Lepisosteus oculatus: one gene and its partner. The protein of the gene in region 2 binds, or shares a complex with, the protein of the main gene of each other region. Links are inferred from orthologs where the notes say so. Each region holds a gene or a part of one and is shown on either strand. Other genes may lie near its edges.

What was found.
Region 1: igf2bp1 (region 2) and elavl4 share a complex: the UniProt entries of both Homo sapiens proteins name them as parts of the TAU mRNP complex. The link is inferred for Lepisosteus oculatus from reciprocal best matches to the Homo sapiens genes IGF2BP1 and ELAVL4.

What each region holds. Positions count from the first base shown.
Region 1 is NC_090704.1:27,002,075-27,017,683, reverse strand, and holds the start of elavl4 (ELAV-like protein 4), read right to left. Parts: upstream 8,161-15,609; 5' UTR 8,135-8,160; coding exon 8,012-8,134; intron 1-8,011. UniProt on the Homo sapiens protein: RNA-binding protein that is involved in the post-transcriptional regulation of mRNAs. Plays a role in the regulation of mRNA stability, alternative splicing and translation.
Region 2 is NC_090723.1:9,504,576-9,519,733, reverse strand, and holds the start of igf2bp1 (insulin-like growth factor 2 mRNA-binding protein 1), read right to left. Parts: upstream 6,571-15,158; 5' UTR 5,999-6,570; coding exon 5,824-5,998; intron 4,396-5,823; coding exon 4,335-4,395; intron 1-4,334. UniProt on the Homo sapiens protein: RNA-binding factor that recruits target transcripts to cytoplasmic protein-RNA complexes (mRNPs). This transcript 'caging' into mRNPs allows mRNA transport and transient storage.

The DNA of each region.
Region 1 (15,609 bases), on a different chromosome or scaffold from region 2:
ACCCCCTGCTCACTGGGATAGGCTCTGGCTCCCCCGCCACCCTGAATTGGATAAAGCAGTTAGAAAATGGGTGGATGGATAGTGCAATCTAGAACTGCCTTAAAGAAACCTCTGACAGCTACCCAGTCATACAGGCTCACACCTGAAGAAGGCTCCACAGCCGAAACGTTGTGTTTTCTTTCTTCTCTTTTCAGCATGGAATAAACCTATTACTTGTTCCCAGGCTTATGCATTCACAAAGCAGAGATAGTCTGGCAGAAGATTTCAATCAAGCACAGTAAAAGGAATTAAACACACACTACACTAGAGTGCTGCATGGCTTATTCAATTATTTCTGAATGCTACAATCAGTGTTAAATACACACTTATGATTGATTAATCCAAAAAAGAAAACACAGCAACAAAGGCCCCTAAGGCCCTTTGTAAGTGTGTCTAAAGAAAAGGCCACCTGCACAGGTCCTCTGCATAAAGAGCTGGCAATGGCAATGGCTCACAGTCTAGGACTCTTTTAGGCATGAAACACCTGCGCTTCTCAAGCTCTGACCCCAGTGGGATGCTAGCTCAGCTGTTTCCAAAGCATCCTTCTGCACCAGGCACTCGGCCTGCGCTGGGCCACTGACCTCAAGCCTATTCTCAATGCCAGATGATCCCAACTCTAATCGGTGAAACACAACAACAAAAGATCACAGGTCACTCAGAGCTCCACTGTGCCCTGCTTACAAAATAATGCAGAATGCAGAAATAAGGAACCTGAGATCCACAGAACACCACACATCTCTCCCGTAAAGAAGGTAAATGTTACAGTACAATGCATGACCATTTGGATCATTTGTTTGATCCAAATCATTAGTTTGATCGTCTATGAACGCCCGAAAAACGATGACTATAGCTTTCAGCATACAGCATTCAGATTTCAGCTTACTCTCTTACTAGCAGAGCTGTTCAATGCCAATTGCATGTCATCCAGCCTAAGGCATTTTTAGGATCCCCTTGTATTACTCTCCACAGTTAGTGGTGAGCAGAATTTAATAATTTAATAATAAGGTTAATAATCACACACAAGTGCATTAATAATGGGGGTGTTTATAAATTTAGTACAAGGTCAGTACAGATTTTTAATTTGTAAACTGAACTGGAAGGGTGTCAGTTCATTTTGTTTTGAATCCTAGTCTATTTTATCATGTATTGTGAAAAACGCGGACAATATTTATGAACATAATTGCCTGTTATTGTAACACACTGAACACATTCAGGAAAAATGTTTATTTTGAGTCCTTTTTATTCTAGTTCATTTTATTACTTTTATTTTAAAAACATGTTAGGGGGGACAATATTTATAAATACAACTGCCTGTTGTTGTGATACACATGGAACACTCATACAGGAAGAGTGTTAGTTCATTCTATTCATATATTGTGAAAACCTGGGACAATATTTATAAACAGAACTGCCTGGGGTGTCTGGGAGGAGAGAATGTGTATGAAAACAACTTGTGTCAATGCTGAAAATAAATGTAAAAAACAGGTTGCCTGTCAACAAATTGTGAACTCAACAAATAGTGCAAGGATCTGAGCTGAAGGAAATTTCTGAACCCCTGTTGAAAGTGCTCTGTACTGTCAGAAATTTGATAATGGAGCAATGTTTGACTTCCGATTTTCAACACCTATTACAGCCTACCTGTCAAAACTACTGAAATAGCAGGAATCTCTAGGTGTGTGGTTTTGTATTATATCATACAGTATTTACAGGAGGCTCAAAACATTTTAAACTACCTTCCTGTATACAGTATGTATATGCCTATTGCTGCTTATTTAAACATGTTAACATTCTTAACATTTGCTCAGCTAGAATCTGAATCCACAAATGCAGTCATTACAAATGCAAACAGAACCAAAACAATTTCTGTAACTGTGAAGTTAAAGACACACACCATGGCTTAATATCTCATGCACACTCTATTATGACCATACTTTTGATTAGATTGTGTGTTTCTTTTTACAGACATAACAAAGTTGAACAATGTTATTCTCCAATTATTAAAACACAGGTCTGTCTTACCTGTACTGGAATGTGGTGTAAATTGGCAGATGGTATTAAAAAGATAAGAAGCCTATCAGAACTTTCGGACAGGAATGATTTTTAACTGATACTGAAGTTACATTGACACATATTTACAAAAATCTAATTTGTGGTGGTGAATTCAATGTGAGAAAGGGGTGGCAAATGAATAAAAAATAATACATTTTTGTGTGTTCATGATGAATCAAAATCACAAAAAAAGAGAATCAAATTAAATAGACACACAGAAATACATAATAGTTCAGCAAATGCATGACTAACTTAAATACTGTGAAGCTAAAGGAAAATGAACTTCATTGTTTTGCACTTTGATTAGGGTATTCATTTGAAAATGTTTTCAATGTTTTAAGTTATAGGCACTTGTAAATCAAGTAGATACCACCTACCCCACTCTTAAAATTTTATTAATGAGGATCCCAGGCTGACCTTCAAGATTGATAGCATTTTTGTGTCCTTTTATCCTCAAAAAAGACATCAATCCTTCAGAACATTACAGATGTCAAAAGTATTCAAGGTTTCAAAACTACAATAGGAAAATGAGTTTATTTTCAATTTGAAAGATAGAACATAATTACAGCACTTCATTCAGGATGAATGTTAGGTTAGTATGATGTGCATGTCCAAGGTTAATCTGGTTGGCGTTTAAATAATGCTTTATGGAGGCATAGTGTCACTGTAGGGTAACTGTAGGGTAACTTTATTTTGGGAGCTGTAATATTGACTTTTCTTATACAAAACAGTATGATAGCTTAGGCAAAGATGGACATCTTTATGCTACACACATCATCACATCACTTTCAATAACTGTTTATCCATGTCAGGGTTACAGTGGCCCAGAACCTATCCCATTACAGCCTGGATGAGACACCAGTCCATCCCAGGGCAAACACAGACACAAACATGCACACAATCACCGCAGGGCCATTTTTCCCAGAAGCCATTTTACCTTTGGACTGTGGGAAGAATCCAGAGTACCTGGATGAAACCCATTCAAAACCAGGGAGAACATGCAAACTCCCTGCAAATAGTACCCTAGTAATTGAACCCAGGGCTGCAAAGCAGCAGTGCTAACCACTGGACCGCTGAGCCTCCTTCTTTTTGCTAGTATTGGGCAATAATAGTATCCAACTGAAAAATTGAAAATTGAAATCCCATTGGCACTGCTATTACATTTCACCAGCAACTCAATGTAACAAAGCTGCCACAAATCTGTCACAAAGCTGTAACAAATCTGCATGAAGATGCAGATGCTAGCCACTTCAGACATAATGATTATGTGTTGTTGATTGTAACATCAGTCATCATGTAATTGCCTGCTGGGTAAATAATAGCCCTAAAGGTTGCCCAAATCGGACTCTTCTTATAACAATTGTTTCCCATTGGGACTTGTTTTCTGCAAGATTCTATTGGGCATTGACAGCCCACACAAATAGATGAACACGCTTCAGGACAACTGAAAAACATGTTGGCCTTTTTGGAATCAAAGTCAAAAAAGAATTATGGCCATTTGAGATGGAACCGATACTGCAGCCAGGGCCAAATCAAAATGTCAGATGAGCTACCAATCGCGGACTGTAAACCTATTACATTATGGTGGCTTTCTGTAGGCGTTTGGACTCATGGTAGCTGGGTCAAAATTCTGTTTGGACCAGTCAATAGCGAGGATTTGGAAAAGGTAAAAAAACATACATTGCCAAACACTGCTGGGGACACACTATTGACATTATTGGCACAGACAAACATGGGGACGAGAATGACAAAGGCACAGGGTTGAGAAATGTGCTTATCCCAAGGGAATGTGGTCTCTAGAGGCAAATCAATTGACAGCAAAAGGAAACTCAGGTCCTGCTAGTGCCTAATGACAGCCGGCTTCAGATTTGTGTGCAAAGCACGAGTTGTCGTTTTTATTAATAGTACTTCAAATAAAACCAAGGTACATTCTCATACACTGAAAAATACTGTCACACAGCACTGCAGAAAATACCCAACAAAAGCTATTTCTGAGCACATTTTCTTTCGTTTAGGGAATACTAACCAACACCTGTCTACTGCACAATACTCCATGAATATTTAAAAGATTAACTGTTGCTATAACTCTTTCTTCTGCTCTAAATCACTATTACACCATAGCTGCTCTTCCCACACCTGTTCGATAAGTAGTTAGGCAGGGCTGGGGGAGTGTAATTGGAATCATTTCCTGGGTAAGTTAACAACAGAAACATTGCAATCAAGGATGGAGGAAACTAGAGAGAAGCCAGATGGATGGAGCTAATCAATGTTCAGAAACAGAACTGACCCCTGCAATATGTGTGGCGCCCATAGCAATATGCAAATCGGAAGACGTTTTCCACTCCACACGACTGCTTCAGTTTGTTTTCATCACTGGTACAGCAGATTAGTTGCTCCGTTCAAACATTGCAAGGAAAAACTCTCAATCACTTGCCTATGGAGGAAAAAAAAAGCTGAACAAAAACAGCAGCTGTTTATATTTGTGTGGAAAAGGAAAACAGCAGCCTTCCTACAATGGGGTTCATTGATCTATAATTGAAAATGTCAAAAAATCCTGATTGAGTCTCCTTGATGAGGCAATAGCAGAAATGAGCAGACCACGAACAGCTGTATTATTATTTTCTAATGTAAATCTGCCATGAACTGAATCACAACCTAAATAAAAAGCATGATTTCTCTGTTATAGAAAGATTTCTGTAATAGCTGACGCTGATTTTTTTTCTTTTAAAATATAGAGGTAAGATTAACGCCATACAGTATATTACACGCCAGCTAGCATTGTTTAAATGCACTTGTATAAAAAATTAAACATTGTTTTCATAGTGATTCATTCGGGTTCCGTAAAAGCAGAATCTCGTTTGCAATGGCAATTTTTAAGTGGTGTAAAAAGGCAGGATCCACTCTTACTGTTAAAAACATCTTTCCTTCACACTTCTGCACTACAGACCAGAGACCGAAAACGTTGTGCTTCCTTATGCCCACTATCTTCCTAGCTGTACAGCTCGCGACATAAATCATTATACCATAGCAGTTTTATCTTATACGGTGATGGTGTGAGGGAGCTTATTAAATTCCTTTTGGTGTGATTGGGCACCATTTCAAACACAATGTTCTCTGGCAGACTCACCTGAAAAAAGAACAGGCTGCCGCTATACAGCATGCCCTACAATCTGAAGCCTCTTCAGATAATCCATAGAAGATGGCACGTCTTTCGCCACAAATACATACATTTCCGTTCAATTAACAAAGGTAAAATGCCACCTATCGATGTTTTTTAAAGCAGAAATATAAAGGATTTTATTTATATCCCCTATCTATTACGGACTACATTTTTGACAAAAGTTATTGAATTTGAAAATAGTGTCCTCCTCTCATCAACACACAGCAGGAGTGTAACCAAAGACATTGCCCCTCACATGGCTTTTAAGGAAGGGGAAAGGACAGGAAACAGAGCTGTAGAAATACTGTACCACTTCATTTTAAAAACTGTAAGCTAGTATTATAACAATGTCCGGCCTGGAACCAAACCTTTTGATTTATTATCAGATTCATAAAAAGAGAGGCAGGTAAGTTTAAAAAAAAACTGAGCTTGAATCAATTAAATAAATTGGAATTTTAAAAATATTCTCACACTGAAACCTTTTGTCTTCCTCCCTGTCACCACAGGGCCAACCTTTTTAATATTCATTTTATCTGATCTCCCTGGACAGTCAAACTCCCTGTAACCTGTATCAAATATGAATGAAAGAATGAATCCATTCATTAGCTAATTACCTAATTAGAATATCTCAGCTCCTTTTCAAAGTCCTGTTTAGGGTCTCTTGCTGCTGAAGGTAAAGAAATGAGAATAGATTTCCTCCATCTTAAATTTAGGAATGAAAAAAAAAGACTAAAACCCTGTCTATTATTAAATATATTTCTTAGATCTAAAGAGCAGAGTATAATCAGACCCAGTGTATCCCTGCATCTGGTAATGTTGTAAAATTCCATATAGTTTTAGGCTGCCTGATCCTGCTATGTGTCTTTATATGCCATTAAAACAAATATATGAACCATTGCTGACTTAATGCTCGAATCTCTCAGATATGAAATCAAATTCTAATGACCAACCTGTTCTCATTTTCACTATAAAATAAGAATAGTGCCATCTTTTCTGCTACTGTTAGAACATCAAGTGCATTACCTTTAGTCCTAGTACTGAACAAATTGCCTTAGTGAAGCCTGTTACAAGTTTTCCAACAGTTTCTTTTGAAAAGAGGAAACACAATCCAATCTGTGATACCAGAGACAAAATCACAAGAACCATTTATTTATCCGCTTCTGTTTCTTTGAGTGTTTTTCTCCTTTGTGCGTAAACACTGCAGATTGAAGGAAAAAGAAAAGGACATTTGTGCTGATACAGGCAGCAAAATCTCGGCGACTGCTGCTCAGTAAATCACAACCCTGCGAAGGCAGCTATCATTTAAAGTGTTGTATGTTGTGGACTTCCTTAAGGGAATTAAAGAGCAGCTCACATTTTAAGCAACATTTTAACTGAAATGTCTTGACACACAACTGTATGCATCCTCTCCAGTAAAACACATTTCTGGAAGAAACACAAACAAAAACACGTTGAATGTGTACTAAGAAATTTTTGATAAGAAGAGGGAACACTTACAGTATCTTAAAGCCGTATGAGCACCAAGGGGTGACAATTTTTTGTCAGGTGCAAATATTCTTATATTTTTGACTGTAAAGAATCTGGTGTTTAACTGTGCTCTTCCTATGAGTGGAGATTTAGCTCCAGCTGTGAAAGGGGAAGAGACAGCAACAGCTGGCTGTCACTGTTGACAGACTGAACCACCAGGGTGGACGCTACTAGCCCCTGCTCTGCAGCCCTCTGCTTCAGCCCCGGACTTCCCCGCCTCAGTGCCATGCAGCAGTGCGCTCCAAGTTTGGATGCTCAGTCTGCTTTAAGGAGAAGCTGCCACCAGGATGAGTAACCATGACAGATCAAACGCCCCCTGTCTTGTGTAGATTTTATGCGGCAGGCAGGGGAATTTTCTCTGACTGTTTCCAGAACGGGTTTCCCAGTGTCTCCTGTTTTTTTTTTTAGACATCACTAGCAGATACAACCAGGCAGTAAGAAAACACACACCAAAAAAGAAAGAAACTCAGATCGAATAATTCCAAGCCACCACTCTTTTCCTCAGCTCCTCCTGGTCTTTAATCTTTTCTTCCCTTCAACCTGCTATGAGTGCGGAGAACGAAATTTCACCGGGACAAAATAATTACCCAGAGTTTATTTTAATTTTTCACGTCTGAGGATTCTTTCATTTGGTTTTTGGAAGGCTGTAAAACTTTTCTGTTCTGTCTCTGCTTGAAAATCCCTGACCAAAATCATTAGTTCCCTTATCCTTGCCAGCTTGTTTGATCTCAAACAGCTCTGACAGTACGCAAAACATCTGGGCCCTTAAAAATGATACAGATCAATCCTGACTGTTACAGGGCCTCTTCCTCTCGGTCATCCATGCCATCCCCCCGACCCCAGGCCCTCTATGCAATACACTGAAGAGCTGCTCTTCCCAGATGGACCACTACGAGTCTTGTAAGAGATCCTCCGCCTCCTCCCAAACACGCTGTACTAACCACTATTGGACTGACAGATACGGAAGTGCTAGGACTTGCCCAAGGTCATACAGCAGAGAAGCAAACCCCAATGGGATTGAAACTGCACAAATCCCCCTCCCCCGGCTCTTTCTCTTTTTTTATGGACAGTTTAACCCATTGACAGGTGCGCCGACAAAGTATGCAAGCAAAGCATCGTAGACCTTCATTCCTAACAAACTGCTCACTCCTTTCACTCCAATTGAACTGACTGATTCTACCCAACTTCACCTGTGTCTCCCTCCCCCACCTCCAAGTCCCCCACCTCTCGTCTTACCAATAGTGACCTGCCCCCAGGCTGGCTGCTTGGGATTTCCCTGGGATAAAGCAGCGATCTCATCTCAGGTAAGGTGCTTTCAGTAGGGGCTAGTCCCAAGTGCTGTGGGTACCTCATCATCATCTTGTGGGATTGTGAAAGAGGCTCCTCGTTCACACACAGACAGAGACAGAGAAGGATGGATGGAATGGTAAAGCACAGGGAGAGAGAAAAGAAGGAGAGATCGAGACAGGGAGAGAGAGCGAACACACACATCCAGGCACGCAACCCTTGGAACGCATGCACACACACACACATGCGCGCGCGCGCGCTTGTTCACACACTCTGAGCCCCAGATGGACTATTCCTCATGCATCCTTGGCATTAACAGCCGCCTGCTCAGAAAGAATCACGAAAACCAGTCATCATACCAAAAACAGCCAACCCTTGCCTCTCCACTCACTTCACCACGAGCAAGCAGGGGCAGAAAACGAAGTACCCCATTCCCAACTTATTAACCTCCATCCACCAGCTGAGCAGCCCTGCCAGGATGTCTCTTTACAGCCTCTACCCCCCCCCAATATTTCCATAAATTTACCTCCCCCTCTGCACTTCCTGCTCCTGCCTTCCAAAAATCACACATACACACACACACCAAAAAGAAAGGACAGGCAGCCAATATTCCCCAAATCCTGGAATTAGAGAGCCTGAGAAAGAAAAATCAAATCCATTGCTTTACCTCATTGCTCAACAAGGCGGCATTCAGTGTTCGGCTGATCTCAAACATCTTGTTGCCAAGGCTTTTGTTTTCCTTTCTTTTTGCTGTCCCCCCCCCCTCTCTTTGTCTCTCTTGCAGAAATGGGAGGCAGTCCCACGGAACAAAAAAAAAGGACCAAAAAACTGAAATTAAAAAGAAAGATCCTTTATTGTTTTCTTGTGTTGTTTTTTTTTCCCCCCCTTTCGCCTTTGCACACCTCTGTCAGTTCTGGAGCTTGTGCCCGGGGTCTCGGCACACAACTGGAGAGTCAATATTTTTTCTTTATCTCCCCGGAGTCAGCACATTAAAACAAGCAGCCGGGCTCGTAGGACTGCTCCCTTATCTTTCCCCCGCACACTCTCACACACAATGTGCTCCGATCCTTACACAGCTCTCTGGCAGATTAGCTTGTCCCAAAACATAGCTCTTAGTTTAAACTCCCTCCCTCTCTCTCTCCTCTCTCTCTCTCCCTTTCTCATTCCTTCTCTCTCACTCTCTTTACCCGGCAGTTACAGTTCACTGTGTTACCACAAGGTGGGTAGTCTCTGCTAACTAATGACAGCCACGGCACATCTGTCTTGCTCTTCCTTCGTTTTGACTCTCCTTGCGCTTTACAGCAGGGCATGTGGCAAATCACACACATACGCATGCACACATGTTTCCAGGCTGAAATCAACTTGCTTTTATTAACCCAGCAAGCTTCTTATTTGTTACTGATACATGCATATTGGTCCTAGTGAGGAGTCTGCTGTGTCTGACTTAACTACCTACTGCTAGATAGACCCTCGAGTCACATGCGGGAGGGGTGTAATGCACATGGAGGGGTCTCAGTTGTCCTTTCCCGGCATTCATCTCTGGTTTCCACCACCAAGGACTGATGTCTGTGTGTGTAGGGGGGGTGAGGTGATTCATGAGATTACAGATTTTTTTAATGCAGTCTCACTGGTGGGGAGAAAGTGGAAACCTATTTGAATTTTGGTGGCTCCACTGAGTCACTAGGGGCTCACACATTGCCTTCTCATTTCACAGCGACCCTAGCCATCAAGGTCATCAAGGTCACACAGAAGCTGAAAAAATGACCTCAGAGTGTCAAAGCCCAGTGAATTACGATGGAGTACCTAGAGTAAGTATAACTTATGAGCTATGGAGGAAGAAGGCAAACAGAGAGGCTAGAAATGGAGAATAAACTGCAGTCCTCTTGGATGTAATATGAATGCAAGCTGCAATGATGCCTTTAGTGCTGACACTCCCAGACTGGAAAAGCTGGGAGGCAGGAGGAGGGGGGTGAAAACCAGCACCAAGTCCATTAATGAAAAGGAACACTGAAACATGAAACACCAAATTTCGATCCTTTCTTTTAAGAGAAACCCTTGTTTATCTGCAGGACATGGACACACGTTAGTTTATGTCACCCAGTCTTTATTTATTATTAAATTTGTTGTTACATTTAAAAATGTAAGACTGCAAAGTTGCCATTGAGATGTGTAAGATCTTGGGGTGAGCAGTGGCTCTGTGGCTAAGGATTTGAGCCTGTGGCTGGAAGGTTATTGGTTCAAATCCCGCAGCCGACAGAGGAATCCTACTCTGTTGGGCTCCTGAGCAAGGCCCTTAACCCCAACTGCTCCAGGGGCGCTGTACAATGGCTGACCCTGTGCTCTGACCTCAAGTTTCTCTCCCTGTCTGTGTCATGTGTCTCATGGAGAGCAAGCTGGGATATGTGAAAAGATGCATTCCTAATGCAAGAAATTGTATATGGCTAATAACGTTATGTGATGTGATCAACCCTCCAGTAAAAAAAAATAGCTAAGGAAGCCCTTCTGGCTACATGGAGCCCAGGTAAAAGGTGAAGCAGAATTGTGATTCAATATAGGGAAATTGAGCTTTGCCGGAAGAATAGGATAGGCATCAGGGCAATGCTAGTTTCCTCCTGGTTTTGAACCTGTTAGACAATGCCACAACCCCTCTCTCAGCTCCATCTCACATCTACATTTTAGCTGCTGAACTGGGGGCTGTGAAGGGGTGGGGACGTTATAAATCATGACCCTATGAAGCCATAAGCAGCTTATTAATTTATTACATAAATAATCTCATTACAATATGGACTGTTTAAATAGGATATGTGACGCCATGCCATTAATTTTAAGCGTCTGAATCCCAATCATTCCATTAAAACTGCATAATCAAGCGTTTTATATGGTTACATTCATCCGCCCCGGTGACAAGCATCTAACATTAATAGATTAAAAAAAGGACCCTGTTATGGAATAAAGATAATGAACATATGCAATTATGAGGTCTCTTTGCTCATTAATTAAAAACTCCAACTGGCTCAAAGGGTTTCAGTTGCCTCTTAAATTTAATCTCATACTGCCCATAGTAGCTCTGGAAGCACCAAGATATAATGAAAGACTGCACAGGTTACACAAATAGGAGAAACCCATTTGTCTTTTATGAACGAATCTGAAAAGGTTAAACTTGTTACAGTGTCTATGGTGATGTCTTAAGTATTGACATCTTTTACTTTAGGCTGTCCGTTCATGGCTTTGTTATCAGAACATGACTGATGTTTCATTCTCCTCATCTGTTTGAAATGGTGCACAGCAACAATTAGCCTAAACTGCAAAGGCCACCTAAGAGCTTGACAATTCATCTCAGGCTTTGAGAAGTGACTGAAGGGAAACAAAACACTCTTTTCAGATTGTGAAAACCACATGGCTTTACTCCTAGTTTACAAAAGAATATAATCTATTATGGTTGCTGGGCTTTTCGACAACTTCTTAAACTACCTTGTGCCATGCTCTACCAGTTTCATAATAGAGAGCAAGATGAGTGGAGCAGCAAAAGTAGTACTTAGTAGTCTCTCAGTGATTCCACTACCATTAAGGTGGGTTGGTGCACTTCTAGTGTAGAAGCTGTTTTTTTTTTAAATCATGAGATACTGTATAATTTACGCTTGAGCTCTGGGTTCAATTCCTGGGGTGCCTCCATATGGAGTTTATGTGTTTTGTCTGGCTGCTCTCATTTCCTTTCAGAATCCAACGGCATTGGAAAATTGGTTCTGGTGTGAGTATGTGCGTGTTTCTGTCTGACTGTGCTTTGCAGTGAACTGGTGTCCCTTCCAGGGTGTACCCTGTCTGGCACCCATTGTTTTCCAGGATAGACTAAGGCTTCCCCGTGACCCTGTCTTATATAAAGTAGTTAGAAAATGGATAGATGGATGTGCTCTCCAGTTAGCTCATTTAAGATGAGAGATTAAAGAGGGTCTATCGTAAGGCAGACACCTGATTCAAAGGAAACATAAGGGCTTGTATGCTGTATTCAAGTCATGGGAGTCCCTTTGTAACTTTATTGTTACAATCCTGGTGGAAATACACTGCTCTTGATGGTAGCGACAGCTCCTTTTGAGGTGGGTTTGGTGTCCCAGTTTAATGTGCATGACTGGCAAGCCTGTGCACAAAGGATCTCCCCACATTCCAAACTTTTCTAATTGTACCGACAGTTTGGATTCTTTAACAGCTCAAGGGCTGATTCAGTGTAATTTACTGCAGAGCCAGACTCGGAAAAACAGAATGACAACGAATAAAGGAATAGCCTCTTATTTTTACTGTATATCTCTCTCTCCTGCTTTTATGTGGGAGGTAAATAAAATTAATTCAGGCAGAAATGGCATTCCTTAAATTTACTGAACCCACTGTGTATATAGTGGAGATGACCTCAAGCAAATGCCAAAAAATCAATTTACATTTGGGGTTTGGGTTTTTTAAAACTAATGTGGAATTATTTTTAAATGCTTTTTATCACTTTTTCTTATTTTAAAAGTATTGTTACAGAATTTCTGATAGGAATTTAGAAATAGAGTACATAGATGCTTGTTGAGGCCACTTGTGTATACATTCAGCATTTCCATCAGCATCTATGAGTAGGTGTATAAATGACACTTTAAAGCCACTTTTTCACTCTGTCTTCCAGTATATAATTATATATAAATAGAATAAGCAGAAGTTTTATTTTTAAAACATAAGTACCAAATTGTAGAGAAGTGGAGAGTAGTGGTTACAGTCATGGACTCCTAACTGGAAGGCTGGGGGTTCAAATCCATTCTCAAGACATAGCCATTGTACGTTTGGGTAAGTTATTCTACCCCAATTTCTCCAGTGTACCCCGCTTAATTGGTAGTGGCACTGCTGGGGATAGCCATGCAAGGAACTGGTGGTCCTTTCAGAGGGGAGTCATGTACTCTTAGACCGCTTAATGCTCTGGAAACAGCAATAAGCTCAGAGTCAGATCTCAACAAATACAACAGGATGTGTGCAAGATGTGTGCAAGAGGACAACTGGATTTGGATCTGCCCAGGTAAGACACTCCACATACACTGAAGAATGCGTTAAGGTCACATAGGCATGAGGTTACTAGGGAACTAGTGTCACCTGTGTGAAGCCCATCTTCCTACAGTATATGTAGGGAGCTCTGATATTTACTGACATACAGTACCTGTCATACTATTGGAAAAAATGTTTTCCTCAGGGAAAACTAAAAACACATATTAAAACATGGTATTTCTCATGATCTCTAAGACAGAGAGATGACCCATATTAGAATAGTGTCTAAGTGATGAGTTTTTAACAATGTTTTTCTTTTCAAACACAACAAAATACCATGAATCATACATTTAAAAATGGAGAAAGAAAAAATCATGCAAGCACAGAAAAGGGCGAAAGGGGACTAATCAAACCAGTTCTGAAGATGAGAAAAGGTATCTGACCATTCTAAAACAGTTTTGCATTAGCAATATATTTTTACCAAAAACAAATCTGTAATTGAGTGCAACTAAGCAGGAAGTAAAGTCATTTCAGTCTAGCCTTGTAAAATGGACTTTGGTTTTAGTTAGACCTGCACACGAAATTGTGTCTTGGAATTAGTAACTTAGGAGTTATCACGGAGAAGGTATAATCAAGCACAGTTACTGTACATCCAATAGCACATTCAGAAAAACCACAAACAGGAAGTACAGTACGGTACACAAAGTGTCTCTCCCTTTAGAAATAACTTTCTATCTGAGTTTATTTGTGTTAACAGGTAAAGACCCATTAGAATGTAGTAGTCTATTTTAAACTGAAATTACAGCTGATGTATAATCTTTATAAAAAGAGCCAAGTTGCAATACAAAATAGATTTCAGTCTTAAAGACCCAACCTAATCCCACACCACTAGCAACAACACTGGTGGAATTCTCTCTAAGATGGGAGATTTACACATCTGCATAGATGGAGCAGCAGCCTGTATGTAGTCCAGAAATTGATCAAAAGTGCATAAACATGTTAGTGGAAGATGACATGCAGAACTGGTTAAGCATCATTGAGAACCAAAATACAGTTCCCACAACAGAAAGAGCAAAAGAGAAGCATTTCCAATTCTTGTATTCAGCAATAAAGCAACAGGTGCAGTCTACAATCTGGACATTTTCAGGACAGATTCTTCTGTTTAATGTGTTAAATATATTGGATTCACAGTTGTGGATAACCTTGGCTCAGTAGAACAGGAAGCTCTGCACTTGTTTCTAAAGAAATACTTTGTTCACCAGGGTGAAACTTTTGCTGCCTTGGAGGTACATCTAATTTCCTGGCTGTCTGAAGGATGAGTTGTTGATCAGTATAGCATAGGACTTTAAAGATGATGGTACCAAGGTATTTTAAGTTAAAATTACGTTACCAGATGCCTTTCAGAGGCCCAATAACAACAACAACAACAACAACAACAACAATAATAATAATAATAATAATAATAATAATAATATTATTATTATTATTATTATTATTATTATTATTATTATTATTATTATTATTATTATTATTATTATAAAGGTTTTCCTCAATTTTGATCCTGGCACTCTACCCTCTGCAAGATGTCCACCAATTTACTACTGTCATTGACAGACCACAGAACAGCTGCATTCCTCTACTTAAACTGCATTGTCCCCAGAGGTGATACAGCAAAGAGATTTAGTTACAGATAGTAACTGTGGCAAACTGCAATCAAAAATTTGTGTTTTAAGCTGTGCATGAGAGACATGTTAAATTATGTGGTGTATTGATAAAGTAGTGACCTACTAGGCAAGAGCTACGATCTGGGTTTCTATTATTGACTTTTGAGATGGGAATGCACAGCTCTAGAGACAGCATATTGCACTTTTCAGGGGCCTGCATAACAGTGTAGCATTGAAAACTGCAATGAACCTAATGTGGGTAGAGAAATGGGTGCCTCTTGAGTAAAACCACTGTTTTTGTATGGACCCACCAATTGTTAAATCTGAGCCTCTTCAGAATCTTATATTGCTAAAGATCACAATAATTAGTGGTTGATTCCTCTTGGTCAGTGATTTCAAATGCACACTATCGTGTTTTCACAAAAGTAAAGACATTGTGCTTTTACATTAAATGATTGTTGAAATATTTAATATTGCACCAGATTGCTTTATTTTGCTTCCACACATCACCTCAGAATTAGGCAGTAAAAAGCTGAAGGAAATCCACAGTCAATCTTAGGAAACATGATGAACATTAACAAAGGACGGCCCACGTGGGAAATGAATATGGAGTATACTGCATGAAGCTGTACCATTTCAAGGTAAAGTATATTAGAAGGGATTACATGACAGCACAAATTACCTCCACCTCCATTACCTTGTTTTTCCCTAATTAATCAAATTTCTTTATTATGGTCTAAAAAACCCAAAATAAACATGATGTGTTTACAGGTATTTATGAAGTTCTTTATACTGGACCAATTTAACGAGTCCCAGCTCTTCAGGTGGTGCTTTAACATGATTTTGAAAACCTCTAGAGTGTGCTTTATGTTCATTAAA
Region 2 (15,158 bases):
AGCACAGCCCAAGTGACCACCTCTTGTTTAAAGCCCACAAGCCCAGGCAGGCACCTCAAGGTGAACGAACACCCTGCGCAAACAGAGAACACCCCCCCCAGCCGCCCAGCGGCCTCTGCTCACCAGGCAGCCTGGCAGAGGGGTGCAGATTCTACCTAGCTATGCCAATTCCTCTTCACCAGCATCACAGGAGGCTGCTCACTCACGCCTCCCGAGTGGAGAGGTGCGGTGCAGATATTTTAAATTTTGGATGGGCAGTGCGTTTACTCCGCATCGGGGGTCACTTGGCTTTGAACCCGCGCCAGAGCTCGGCACAGGCTGGGCACGCTCCCACACCTATCCGCCTCCTCGACCCCAGCCGCTACAAAAAATCAACACCCCAATGGCACGCATCTTGAACCCAGCTCCTTCCCGAGCAGGAAGAGCCCAAGCGCAGGGGGGCGACAGTGCAGCACACAGCTGGACAGACGACGGGGAAGACCACAACAGCCTCATTTCCACACCCCCCTTCCCCAAATTCATACCCAGCGATAGATCACTGGGGCTTCTACTGATTAAACCTCCCTGAAGGTTCAGGATATTCGTAGGCAAGAAAAATATTAAGATGATGGAGAGTCTTGACACCAGCATGGCAAGTGAATTAAAACCGTCCGGAATAATCAGTTTTAACACTGTTCCGACAACACACAAACACTGGAAATTTACTAGACTAGGGGTCTGTGTTCTTTCTTTACAGCAGAACCGTGAGCTTATTCTGTCCTGGCAACTTCCTAAAATTAACATAAGGGATCACCCATGGATGTCTGTAAACACCAACCAATTTCTCATCAAATAAAGGTGACTTCTTTTGATCAATGAAACTATAAGCTTAGAACCGCTGTCTTAAACAATGCATGACTAAGACACCTCTATTAATATTGTTAGCATTTTAAAATAAAGCATAGGTTGAGAACAGGTATTTCAAGTGCTAGGCAGAAATGGCTTCAGTTCCTCTTGACATTTACATTTGTGGTGTTGATGACGGAAGATGTCTGCAGGTACATTTCGACTGGATTCCTTGTCAAAAGCTAACTCACCAAATCCTGTCCTGCCAGTGTGAGGTCACAATCCCCTCTGTGACATCACAATGACCCGCAGCCCCGCCTGGCGACACAAGGATGTGTGGCCCATTGTGCGAGATAATAGTTTTACAACCGAACCTCCAACACTCCAGCAACAAACAGATCTACCCAAACAAGAGGCAAACGGGAACATAGCATTCAAACCAATTTTTCGCCACCCTGACCCGTTTCACGTAAATGTTTCCGTTCGGCTTTTGTCTCGTTTTTTACCACGATTTCCATCTTTTGAAAAAGTCCTGATTAAAACCGACAAAGGCCACATTCTTCTCACCCCCAAGGAGAGCAAATTCACCACAGTTTGTCAGGAAGTGTATAGGAAGTGCTTTAATAACATGAAAAGCCCTAACATACCAAGTCACATGTAGAGATGGCAGAAGAAACAGGGCCTGTTCACAACTGCATTCCTATCCCAAATAGGATCCGAGTGTTACGCCAGCATCTCAGTCAGGCCCTGCCTGAATTTCACCACAATGCAATGACACCCATCTTCACAAACAAAAACAAATCACACGTTTGAACTAAAAGTGAATCAGCCTGTTAAAAACTATTTGTGTAATATGTACTAAATCACCTATATACATGTGCATTCTCTCTCCTTAGCCATTTGTGTATGGAAACCTCTTTTTATAAACTCCCTCCTACAAACATTAGCCTTCTTAAACACTTTCAAGAAAATATTTTTTTTCCCAAACCATATCTTGCAACCAAACTGGGAAAAAAAAGCCTAGGAAATTTTCGAGCAGTCTTGTAGACCTGGGAAGGTTATTTTCACTACTCCTCTAGGGACAGCTTCAAAGATCTTCCTGAAATAATACACTGCCCATAAGAACAGTTTTCCCCTCACACAAAGCAGACTGTCGCCTTAAAATTGAAGAGTGTGAAATCTCACAATTCTGTTGTAAATACTTTTTCGTCTGCAGGAATTAAGATAGGTGCACGGGATCTACGTCGCCGTATATATGCCTTATAAGAGGAGTAGCCATGTCGTTACAAACCAGACCCGAGAGACGCCATTATTTTGTGGCGAGTGACGTAAGCGGGCCCTGTACTGCGAGAGAAGCACGTGTTTGGAGTCAAGATCTTTTTGTCCCTTCTTTTAAAAAATATTAAAGTTGAAAGTTTTGTTGTTGTTATTTGGTTCATTTCTTTTACCCCTTGAAGGCTTTTGATGAAATACGTGCATATTTATCGTCAGCCACCACAATGATAGTTTAACTGACGCATGGAATTAATTAAAATACATTACAAATTTGTAGGGAATGAAAAGGCAAAGGCGCACACTCCCCTCGCTATAATAATGTTATTGCCTGAAATTGCAAAACATGTTGCTCTGCTGCTGCTGGAAAATTACTTTTTTTCCCTCTTAAATAAAGTTTTGGACTCTTTCGCTTCGGCCTATAATTCAGATCAATGTAAAAAGGAAGACATTGCACGTCGAACACGTATTTCTCTTCGCTGATCATAAACAGGTTTCCATAGCGCGTATACAGAAATCGATTATTGCCACTGCTGACAATAATTCTCCCAATAAGGCGGAACAGACCTGTCTGATTCAGACTACGCCATCCGCGTGGCTTTTATTTTAAATCCAGAAAGATTAAACTCCCTTTTTTATCCTAAAAGCCTCCATTTTGATTTTTTTTTTAAAAAAAAAACAAACTTGCGCTCTGTTCGGTAAAATGTTCAATGAAATGCTAACAGGCCGGGGACGACATTCTAAAAATAACAATTTAAACAAAACCACCACGAACCCCCACGCCAGTCTTGCGGCCTGGTTCGGTGTGTTCGAACCACACAATGGGCCCGGTCAGTGGCCGAGCGGTCCGGTTCTTGTGGTCCTGGCCGGACCAGAACGTCGTGCTAAGGGACAGGAGGGGTCCTGATCCCCAGTGGGTCACCCCCCTAACCCCACCACCCCACGTTTGGGGAAATATGCGCTTGGGGGCTGGGGAGTGGCTGAGGCCAGCTTTGTAAAAACTTGTTTTGAACACATTTTAAAATTGGGGAGACAGAGGGGAAGAACACCTTTATGTTCTACTGAGCAGTTCAGTATTTTACAGACCCAAGAATTGCACATTTGTACTCCAACCGCGCACCTCCCCCGGAACCAACACATCCACACAAACTCCAGCGACTGTACTGGGCGCCTCGATTATTTTTGTTTAAGCGCTTTCAGAAAACAAGCTGGAGAGGGGAGTTTTAAAATGTGTAGCTGTTAAAACGGCAAACGTCTTCGAACTGAGAAAGTGTCCTACAGACGACTTCTGCGTTCAGGGGGGCAGTTAATGCACAGAAAGATACTGTAGCCGAGAAGCCAAGATGAAGATTTTAACGTTTCACTAGCACAATGCCAAAACAAAGGGCACCGCTTGAAAGAATGTTTCTACTCCACACAAAAGGCACGGAAGATACTCCCCAACAACATTTATTACCGTTTTCCAGCCCCAAGTATCTAGGTGATGAAGTTAAGTTGTATTTAATATTAATAAAACCTCGCCAATTATTTCCTAACAAACAAATGCATACTTTTTTTTAAAAAAAGCGAAACATTTCAATGTAAAAAAACTTTAGCAAATTTGCGTGAAATAATTTAGTAACCAATTTTACAGATGCATAATCTTCGTTCGCAAACACACCAGGTTTCTCGAAGCCCAGGTAAATTAAAAAAAAAACAACTAAAAGCACAACACCGCCTCACTAACCTTCATGACCAGTAGGCCTTAAACTCAAAACCTGCAACTACAACCAAGACATTCTGATCAGAGCTGTTCACTAGCAAGCAGTCCCAGATTCTCAAAAAAAAAGACATTTTCTCCTCTTTTTACGTGCATGAATTTCAAGATGGCGAGAGAATGAATTGAAATTTTAGCAAACACTAAATTTCGTGCAATTGACTTTCAGGGTGTTCTTTTAGTGAAAATGTATTTCTGATTCGAATCGAAAGCAATCCGTCATTTTTTTATGGGGAGGGGGGAGGGAGGGTAAATTACGACTAGTCTTTCCAGCCTAAATTAAAGTTTGGCGTGGAGAGGGAGTTGGACTTGAAAACAGGCCCAATTCGAGAACTAACAGTGAGGAGGGAATTCGTCACCCTACGAGATCGGATCCCTTCTTCATTGCACACCACTGAATGCAACCACACAAAACTCATTCCAGGCCACCCGGAGCTCAAGAAAACTCGACACCCCCAAATAATTCGAATACCCGAAGTACCTTTGCTTCTTGGGCACAGAATGTTCGACTTCCATGCGCTTTCCGTGCAACTCCACTTTACCTGAAAAACAAATACAGTCGTGTTTGCATTAACGTCCCCCTTCTGTGTACCGTCCGAGCAGTTTGATTTTTTTTTGTTTGTGGGGATGTTAACGCATTTTCGTTCTTGTCTCGTCACGGCTGGCTTTCACAAAATGGAAAGAGTTTCCTAGCTGCTGCAGTTAGAAAGTTGTTGTTTGTTTTTTTTTTAATTGAGGAAAGATCCGAATGGGTCCCAGTTCCGCAACCCTGACGTGGTAGTTCAAAGATACGTTTTTTTTTAAAAAATAAAAAGGGTACAACTTCATACACTGGGTACTCGATGTAAGGGAAAAAAATTGTTACAGGCACGGAAGGTGACATATCAACACACCTAAACATCTGCACGGCGCCTTTCCTCTCTGTAGTCGTGCCCCAAGCTGTAATGGTCTTCGTTATAGAAATTACTGGGCAGCGGCACGACTAGGGGAACTTTTACAGCTTTTGTCTTGTTGGGGTGTTGCTAACTTTTTTTCACCCCGCTTTTCTGCGGGGTCACAAGTTTCCCCGGTTCTCTCGGCGTGGAGCCGTTTAACTATGACGAAGGAAAACAGTCGCCCGCCGTGTTCTCGTAGCGCGACTATAGCTGAAGCGCAAGCAGCATGGCGACCTTCGCGCTATAGGGAACATCACATGCTATAGGGGGTAATGTACAAAATCAGGAAAATTGATTCTTTAAAAAAGGAAGGACCGAAAAACTCGCGGACGATTCGCCTATCGCCTGTGACCGTACAACGGTCCCTTCTCTCCGGTTATTCGAGAATCACCTCTCGCTTCTTTAAATCCATAAGGCATGTTTGACCTAATCACTGGCTATTTTTGTACAAACAAATTCAATTCCTCTTATCTATAATGGCCTATCATGACAAAAGGGGGAGGGGATCGTGTTCGTATAGCTAAACCCTTATATACAGACCAGAGCAATGCCACCCCTCGGGAGTTCTCTCGGGGACTGGATTCCCAATTAACGTTTTTTTTTAAATTAAAAATAAGAGGTCCAGGCATGCCTGCCTTAAATAATAAAAGATATCAATAGCAACCTGTTTCACTGGGACACATACCTTGTAAGGCACCAGTTTGCCACAGACCATTTTTAAACTCTGCTGCCGATTCGACTCACCCCGTTTAAAAGTTATCTTTCGGCCAGGTTTTAAAACACCTCCCACACGGAATTAAACGGAATGACCGAAATCTGTTGGTTTTCAATCAGATAATCCCCCTCCCCCCGACACCCCTCTCCTCTGCAAACAAACTCAGTGGATTCCGAAATTGGAGTGAGAGAAATTCACGGAGTACGCGTTTTTTTTTTAATCCACATCCCCTCCAAAAAAAAAAACTCACACTTCGTTGTAAATTGTTTAAATACACCGCTCTGGTTAAAGAAAGGGCTCGTTACTTTTAAAGAGCTTACCAGAGAACGTTTCGATCGCCTTCATCGCCCAGTGGTCATCTGGACAGTCCACAAACGCGTAGCCAGTTTTCAATAGAAACTGCCCAGAGAAAGGGATCTTGCAGTCCTCAAAGACTTTCACCAAGTCCTCCGAAGTCACGTTTTCACTCAGATTTCCAATATACAGCTTGTTCATGGTGGTGAAAAACACAACTGTTACCGGTCCCCCAGGAGAAAAAAAAAAGAAATAGTTTTTTTAAAAAAAAAAACCCACAAAAAAAACCAAGGACCCGAAATTAAAATTGGAACCAAAAAACAAAACAAAACGGAAGGACGAAGAGGGAGAGTGGCTACTCGGAACGAAGGAGAAAATAAAACGGCGCCTCGAAATTAAAATTAAAAAGAAATCGGGGTGAATGGGTGGGAGAGAAAAAAAAAGTTGTGGGCGAAGTGGGGTCGCCGCGACCGGGAGCTGCCGAATTCGGATTCGCCGAGCGAAAGCGGAGACGTCGAGACTGCGGCGCCGCGGATCTCCAAGTGAATCGCACGCACTCTCGGCGAACTGGACTGGGGAGAAGATTGTTGCACAGGCGGCGATGGTGCTGTCGGCGGCAGCAGCGATAGTAACAGTGCGATGGCGCGATCAGGGGGGAAAAATTGCTCCTCTCTCTCTCTCTGCCCCTAAACCTCGAGTTATACCCCCGCACCGTCACAGATCCTTCTGCCTAGCTGTGGCACCGCCTCTAAAACCCGACCTGAAAAAAAAAAATTGCCTCAATTTTTTTTTCTTCTTGTGTGTGTGTGTGTTTGCAAAGAGGAAACCACGTGGTCTCGGAGTAACGAGAGCGAGGGCCGGCCCCTCGCGGATGGGTGCGCGAGACAGCCCGGGCCTTCGTGCTCTGCGCTGATGTTGCCGAGGGCGCGCGCATGTCACGGTGTGTGTCCGTCTGTGGAGGCGGGCGCGAGCACGGGGAGGGGGGAGCGCGGGGTCGCGCCGGCGGGCGAGTGGGTGTCTGTGTGCACACCCCCCCGCGCCATCGCGGGTCAGCTCGACACACCCGCTTTGGGGCACCAGCGATGGCGATGGGCGCTCATCAGCGCTAGAATGAATCATTTAATCGCCCTCTCGGTCGCTTGGACACGCACACCCAGCTCGAGCCCCCTGCCGCTGGGGTTATTGTATCTACAGGGGGGAGGTCGGCGAGCGAGGCGGTTGGGGGGTAAATTGTGACCCCGTGATCCCGTCAGCCTGGTGTCCCTGCCTGAGCGGTATAGACCATAAAGGCGGGCCGCCCGGGAGGTTCCCCAGCAGACAACGTCGAGAAGGGCGGTGGTTTTGCGAAACGCCAAGCCGAGAGGGTGGCCATTTCGTTGGCACAGAGCCTTGGCGAGCCCGTCCCGGGCAGGCGCGGCGCAAAACGAATTCTAGAAGCGTTCTAGAAGAGGAGGGGGGTCGGGGCGCGCTGCGCGGGCGGGCCGCTCCCACTCCCCCCAGTGTCGGCTACACGCGGGGCTGGAGACCCGGAGACGGGCAGAGCGCGAGTCGGAAAGCGGCGCCCGCACCCCGCAGCACGCGCGAACACAGCGCCGAATCGCCCCCCCTCCCCCGTGCCGCCGCCCTCCTCATCCACTGAGCTGTTGCAGGCCCGCGTGTATCGTGTAACCACGACAGGACGGCAAGCAGCACGACTCTCTCTCCCTGGTTTCTGTTTCTTGTTTCAAAATGGTGCTGCCAGGCACTAGGCCTCCAAGCGCAGTAGCTGCCGCCGGGAGCGGAAAGGCTGTAGCGCTCTGTAACAAACACGTTTCGTTGGGATCTCTTCTCCCAACCCCCTTTAAATAAACATTTACCAGACCTATATGGTGTAAAAGAGAACACCGTTCTTCGAGTAACGCGTTATCCCCACAGAAAAATAAACGCAATTCATGGGCCACCCTAAATGTAGTGAAACTGTGACCAGTCGAAATACAAAATCGTCTTTCACAAGTTAGTTCTTTGTAACCTTTGAAATCGATCCCTCATGCTGCTTTTTAGCACGCGAAAACCCGCACACAATGCACTTACTGACTGAGATCTTTAATAAATATACACAAAGTCTGACCACCCCCCTAAAATCAACGTCAGGGGAAACGGGAATGCTCAAGTGAATTCGGTCGAGGTGGAGGTGGGGCGTGGGGCGTTCCACGCACACGGAGGAAATCGAGTTACACGTATCGCGTCCGAGTTGTCTTTTTTTTTTCTTGCAACAGTTCTGTATTCCAGACGGGTACTTGTTCGTTACTTGTAACACGCGTTGTGGGCAGATTCAGCTGGCTGCGACAGCTGCATGATGCAAGATCGCAGCGAGTTTTCTCTTATTGAATTAAATTTACTGGGTCACAGATAGGGGCCCCAGCCTCTGGACTCCGGACTAGAGGGTTGCGGGTTCATATCCCACGTGGACCGCTGTTGCTGTGACTTTGAGCAAGACAGTTCGCTCAGATAGCGGCGGTAAACGCCGTGCTCTATAAATAAATCTCCGGGTCATTGTTGCAAAAGCGAATTTGTTCTCGATTGGCTCATATGGTTAAATAAAGATCAAATTAAAGTTATTCTGCAGTAGTTGTCCAGCCTTCTTTTGACAGTCAATTAAACCTATGAGCTGTAATCAAGCCGAGATATAAAATAATCTAAAAATAATTATCTGCGGGCATTTTACAGTTTTTGATTAAAATGCTTGTGTTTTCCTAAAACACTAAGGGGCAGTTAAGCTGCGCGAATAAACGAGACTGGCACATACACACAAATCCAAACTTCTTTCTTTGGGGGGGAATGTAAATGGTAATACTTTGTTTAGTGGCTTTTTATTTTTTGCAAATCAATTACAGTTTGAAATCAACACATCTTAGCCAAAGCAAAAATCTATGCCATGAAAAAAAATATTTCCAATAACATCTCAAACGATATTGCAGTCTTTTATATTCTGTTTCTAATTGCATTACATTATAAATGAGAACAAATCAGAAAAAGATCTGTTCTACACAAGTAGTGTAATTGAAATACACGATCTCCCCCCTGCAGCGAAAAGCTTTACCGGTTTTGTGCTCATTGTATCCGCGTCATTTTTCCTGCTGAAGGAATGGAAGAGTGGGCGCTGTCAGGTACCCCTCTTCCTGCAGCCTGGACAGGAGACAGCCCCTCTGTCGCTATGAGGCCGTTCTTACTGATGCTGGTTTCACCTGCCCTGGCTTGAACCCTCAGCCGAGAGGTGGCTCTGTGGCTCAGGATCTGTGCCTGTGGCTGGAAGGTTACCAGTTCAAATCCCGTGGCCCCCAGAGGACTCCAACTCTGTTGGGCCCCTGAGCAAGGCCCTGAACCCCAACTGCTCCAGGTGCTGTATAATTGCTGACCCTGTGCTCTGACCCCAAACTTCTCTCTCCCTGTCTGTATGTCTCAGGGAGAGCAAGCTGGGGTATGTGAAAAGACAAATTCCTAATGCAAGAAATTGCAGAGGGTTAATAAATTGATGTTGTTATTATTATTATTAACCTCAGGGCTTCCCGTGAAGCAGGGAGACAGAGGCTTAAAAAGAAATGCAGTGCCCATTTGTCAAAGATGAAGGTGACCCAGTGGGAGAGTAGCCGAATAACACCAGCGCCCACCTGGACAGAGACCCGCTGCGTCAGCCCTGTTGGCGGCCCGGGCTGGGAGACTGGCAGGGGCCAGAGGCCTCTGTCTGGAAGAGCCCAGCCAGAGCTGGACTCTCGTCCCCAGGTCACTCGCTGGCTCCAGTCGGCCCTTCCTGTTCCCTGCCGGAGAGGAGAGTGTCCGCGCAGGACGGACGCTACCTGGCTGACCACACAGCCTCACGGGCCTTTCAAAAAAACAGCATGCTAACCAAAGCTGTCTTTCACGCATTTTTTTAATTATAAAAGCAAACAGAGCTACTGGTTTAGGAGGGTGGGAGGGCTGGTGGAAAGTGCTAAAAGTCACCCTTTGACAAAAACCGCACAAATAAATAATTGATTTCTGCTCGGGGCCTTTCCAAGCCTCTCCCAGACTGTATCAGTTGATCTGTGTGCACATTTTATTGTCCCTCAGGTGCGTCTTACTACTGGGGAGAAGCTGAAAAAGTCTAATCCCGTTCAGAACAGGCGAGCTCAGCGCGGTGGAGGAGAGGGCCCTGCTGGAACAGGGAAGGGCTTGGACACACAGCCGGAGCGTCTTGACCGCCCGGCCCTCAGCCCTGGAAGATCTCCAAGTCCAGGAAAAGATCTCAGACCTGCCCTGCTCCCAGACAGGATGAGCAGCACGTTTCCAACAGAGCACACCGTCCTCATGCAGCGTCATACACCTGGAATCTGTTCGTCGAGGATGAAGACAGGTGTCCGTGACTCATGTTCATCTCTGCACACATTCCTTCGCAAAGGTAGACCAGCACTGTGCAAATGTACATGAATTACATCACTAGACCTTAACAACACCCATTCATCCAAGCCAGTGGTATCTGATGCCCCCTCTGCACACTCATTCATCCACTCTGGCTGTGCAAAGGGACATAATCTACAATTAGGGAAAGTTTAAAACACACAATTAGTTCTGACTAATTATTGTCATTAAGATGTAGGATGGTCGTTTCCTCTGTTTCACACACACACACACTCACTCTGCAGGTCGTATGAAGTAAGGCGTGGCTTTTCAAAAATAAAAACCAAAGTATGGTGTGAAGTAATGAGCTTATTATGCTTACTCCCTCTCCCATCATGCGGGAGATTGCAGAGACAAACTGTGTTCATGTTTGAACAAAACATCCTAGCGTGCACCAGGCTCTAGGCACCATGGTAACGTGTTTTGGTGAACAGGGACTGGATGAAGTTAGAAGGCTGCTTCACATGGAGGTCTTTAACATGGAGGTGTATTTGAAAGATAGAAGCAGCACGGCATCGGTAATTGAGCTTTCTTATACGTGCTGTGGTCTTCGCTGTGCTGAACCCTAAACTGGGGGGGGGGGGGGGGGGACAGTGGAGGGCTGGGGGGACACACTGCAGCTGCCCTGGGCTGAAATTCAGAACCAGTTCTGCACGGGCCAAGTTTCACAGCAAACGGACCCAGGATTATTGCATGAAAAAGAAAGAAGAGAATTCGGTCGGCACTCTGCTCCCTGCAGTCCACTCTCCTTCAGCGATATTGCAACCACGAGACGGACTGCAATGTTTCTTTTCCGATACATTTTCTGAAGCTGATCCCAGTCTGTTTGGTCGGAAAGCCACGCAGGCAGGGAAGCAGAAGAGGGTGTTTTTTTTCACATACAACCTGGGTTTAATCCGGTTACCCCCTTCAGTGCAAGGACCTAAAAGGATAAAAGCTCTGAAATCAGATGGCATGCTGAGTGTCGCCTGAAGAGCACCATCACTATAGACATTGTATTGGTCTGCAAAAAAAAACAACAACCATAAACATGGTTAGCTGATGGGCAATTTTCAAAACATGTGATCTCACAAAACTACCATTAAAACCACTGGACAAAGCAGCACTTGACATGTGCATTCAATTTGCCCCAGCACAACCAAAACACACCCCCAGGTCTGTGCATGTTCAATAGTTTGCAGTAGAACATGCTGATGGAACTTCCTGCTCCTTTGCTTCATGATGTTTTTAAAATGAGTAAAAACCTTCGGCACTTCCTTTTATTTTTTAAGGACAGTGGACTGTACTTCATCTAATACATGTAAATGAAGATTAAACCAAATATTTGTATTTGCATAAATGTATTATGTACAGTACTTCAGGTCTTCAGCTGCGAGAATCACATTTAAAAATCTTCACTGTTACCGTTAAACAAAATGAAAAGGAGCTGTCTTGAAGATATGGCACACCTGAGGAGAAATTGACATAGATTCTCAAATTCTTATCTGAACGAAAACAATTTCACATTTGTAAGGTGTCTGCAGACTGACTGCAGGAGAAAGCTGTTTCTTTCATTTCTCAAGGTAACACTTGACTATTGGTAAAGTCTGATCTTAAATTCTTGAAGGTCACGCAGAAAAAAAAAACGTCTGAAAGAGACCTATTTTCTGGTTAATTTTTAATGTTGAACAGACAGTGCATTTAATTTCTGACTGAAAAATATATATTTTCTTGCAGAATAACAGTTCAGTGGATGTGATAGACAGAATTACACCACAGCACAAAAGGGATTTAACTTATAATTACTAACATGTTACTTGTGTAGGATCATCTTTAGAAAAGATGTGGTCCTTGCAGATTTAATTCATTATCCATTCCCCCTTCACAAAACCTCTCATTAATCATACAACCATGTATGAAATAATAAGACACTGTCACCAGTAGAAACAAACAAGGGACACAGCTGACTTTTAAGTAGCTCTTTAAGACCTCTGAATTGCACCTAACCTGAAAAAGAAATATCCAGGTTGCCTACAAGCAAACAGTTTTTGTCAGGACGTTTTACATCAATCAATGTTCTATGAAGGAGCATGAGCTTCAGATTTAAAGAGCTTTTGATTTTGTTCAGACGTCTCTTATCTCATCTCTCTGTCTGAGTACATAACTGCACATAGTAAGCAGTCTGCCATATATTTCTCAACAGTCATGTTTTGTTTATTTGTGTGTGTTTGTTTGCAAGGCAGTTTGCCAGACTTTTACAGCGTGATCCTTTGTGTTTTTCAAAGCAGTTCAAAGATGCCAAAGTGCCCAGCCATTTAAGTGACAAGCCTTCAAACCAGATTAGCAGTGTGTGAGCTCCTGACTGCTGCCTCAACAGGAACATTAAATAATCTTCCCAGTTAAAGGCTGCTCTTAATCCAGATTAATTAATCCCGAATGCAAAATTTAAAACGCCAATGCTGTCAGGTCCTGCAAGAAGGTGTCGTTCTGTAAACCGATGCACGTGCTATATTGAAGCCACAAGTATGGAACTAAAATTGGTTTGTGGCTTTTAGAGCTGCTTGGGAAATCATCAGAACCGATTTACATAGTCTCACACCCGGAAAAAGCTTTCGTTATGAGGTTCCCCTCCCGACAGTAAGGAGAAACATCACTTGATCGGCTCGGGCGACAAGTGTGTCTGCAGACTGCTTCCTCTGCTCCTGCGTCCGGGGATGGGTGAGCTGCTGAGACAGAGAGGGTTCAATCAATCTTTATTGACAGAAACACAAAATCCAGAGTTTAGATCTTGATTCCTAGAACCCTACCTTAAGAATTAGGAAAATAATTAGGAATATCCATCTATCACGGTTTACAATCTTACACAGGACGTTTTCGACACGCCAACGCTGGTCAAAAGTTCCGAGGTCGTGAGGGGATTTATAAAACATGAATTCTAACGATATCCTGCTCTTCGCCAACCCTTCAAACATCCTCCCCAAGTCTGCAGAACCGGAACCGGAGATCTTATTTTTCCGAGCGTGAGCTACTGAGAGGCAGAGGAAGAGTGAGGCGACAGGCACGGGGAGGCGTGTTGAGTGTGTGCGTGTGTGTGGGTGAACAAGTTGGTGTATCATGGGAGAGAATGATCTTATATAAAGCGTCTCTCGTGAACATGAGGCATCTTGACTTTGCAGGCACTCTGGATGTATTGACTAGTTGGATCCACTTCATTTTATAACTGTTTACTCTTTTCAAGAAATGAATGTAGGCACAGGTGCTCAGTTTTTCCATCTGAACATCTCCCACTCATTTGCAATTAAGACCCTGCTTTTGCATGTTTTTCCCTTTGTGAACTGAATTCCACCATCATGTTTTACAAAACGTACACCACAATATCTACACACATGATTGCAGGTAAGTACCTTTTTTTTCCCCACCAATATGGTGTGAAATGTAACATGTATCTATGATCTTAACAAATCATGTTTAAGAACTGTTCATCTCACTCGTTTTTTTTTAAGATGCCTCAATAAAATTTAGTTTTGTTTAGAAACTTTAATTACGATGTAAACACTGTCTTAAAAATGAGTTATTTCTCCCTCCATACTTCATGTTTAAGACAGCTGCATTAATGCTGAGACTTCCAGCACATTCCTGTAACAGCATTCCTAAAAATCCCTTCTCTTCTTTGTGAGATTTTAACAAAAAATCTTCTGTTTTAGATTTTATCCTGCAACTTTCTTATTTTATTTGGGTTTAAACATTTTGTTTCCGTACTATAATAGTTTAATACAATCTAATAAGTCAATATATATTTTTTAAAAAGATACATCTATTGTATGATTTTAATTGTGGGAGTTTCATTGTATAATGCTGAAACGAACGACAAATGAAAATGCATTTAACACATCAATGTGTCCATTTGCTTTCTAAATCACAAAATCTTAGATTTGTCTGCATCTTGTAGAAACAGGGGACTTCAGAGTAAAATGTACATCATTTCTGCGAATGCAGATACTTATGTGGACGACAAAAAGAAGATTACGTCACCTGATCAGCCACAGCGGTCGATTTGACAACACAGGTTAACCAAAGCCTAAAAAATAAAATCAAAAGACGTGAATTAAAACGCAATTCCTACATGTGGTTGCACGCACAAATAGAGTATTTTTTCTCACATTGCAGGGCTACAAGCGGCCAGTTATCAGAAAAGCACAACACGGAAGCAGGATGCTCCTGAAAGCATGTTACTGGTGTCCGGGAATGCTGCAGGGCCGAGTGGTGTCCGGAACCCGTAGGCCCGGGGCTCGCGATCCGGGGTGCGCGCTGGCCGGGGGGTTCGGGACCAGTGCGGGTCTCCTCACTCCGGACACACCGGCTGGACAGCGGACTGGTCCGGATAGCCACCGGCCGAGGCGGACAGGAGTCAGACTTTCAGACCAACCTTAACTACATGTTCCTGCTGGTCTTTTCCCTTAAGTTTCTAGATTCTCGACACACACACACGTGCCTCGACGTCTTGTTGCCCAACTGTTCAAAACCTTAAATCAAATTTCTCAAAAGATTTAAAAAAATAAAATAAAAATGTAATTGCCTTCATTTTTCTTATAGATGAATGAAGTGACACCATTTTGTAGCGGAGTCTTTTTTTTTTTTACGAGCAAGACAAAAACAAGCTTTCTGAACTCGACACGGGGCACTATGTAAGCTTAAAACGTGCTGGGTGTTGATATTAGAATTTAAATCGATTAAAAAACAATTGCACATAAAAGTTTTTTTTTAATGGTATGCAGTTCCTGCCCCCCCCCCCCCCAACAAACAGCAACACATTCTGCTCCTGAAAACCGCCGTGAACGCGCGCAAGCGCACAACACCCACCCTGAAGTATGGCGCGCGCGCACGCATTCCACTGAAATGTACATATCTCGTGCACGACATAAGAAATCGGAGATAAAAACAGAATGGGTTTAAAACCCGTCAAGAAAAA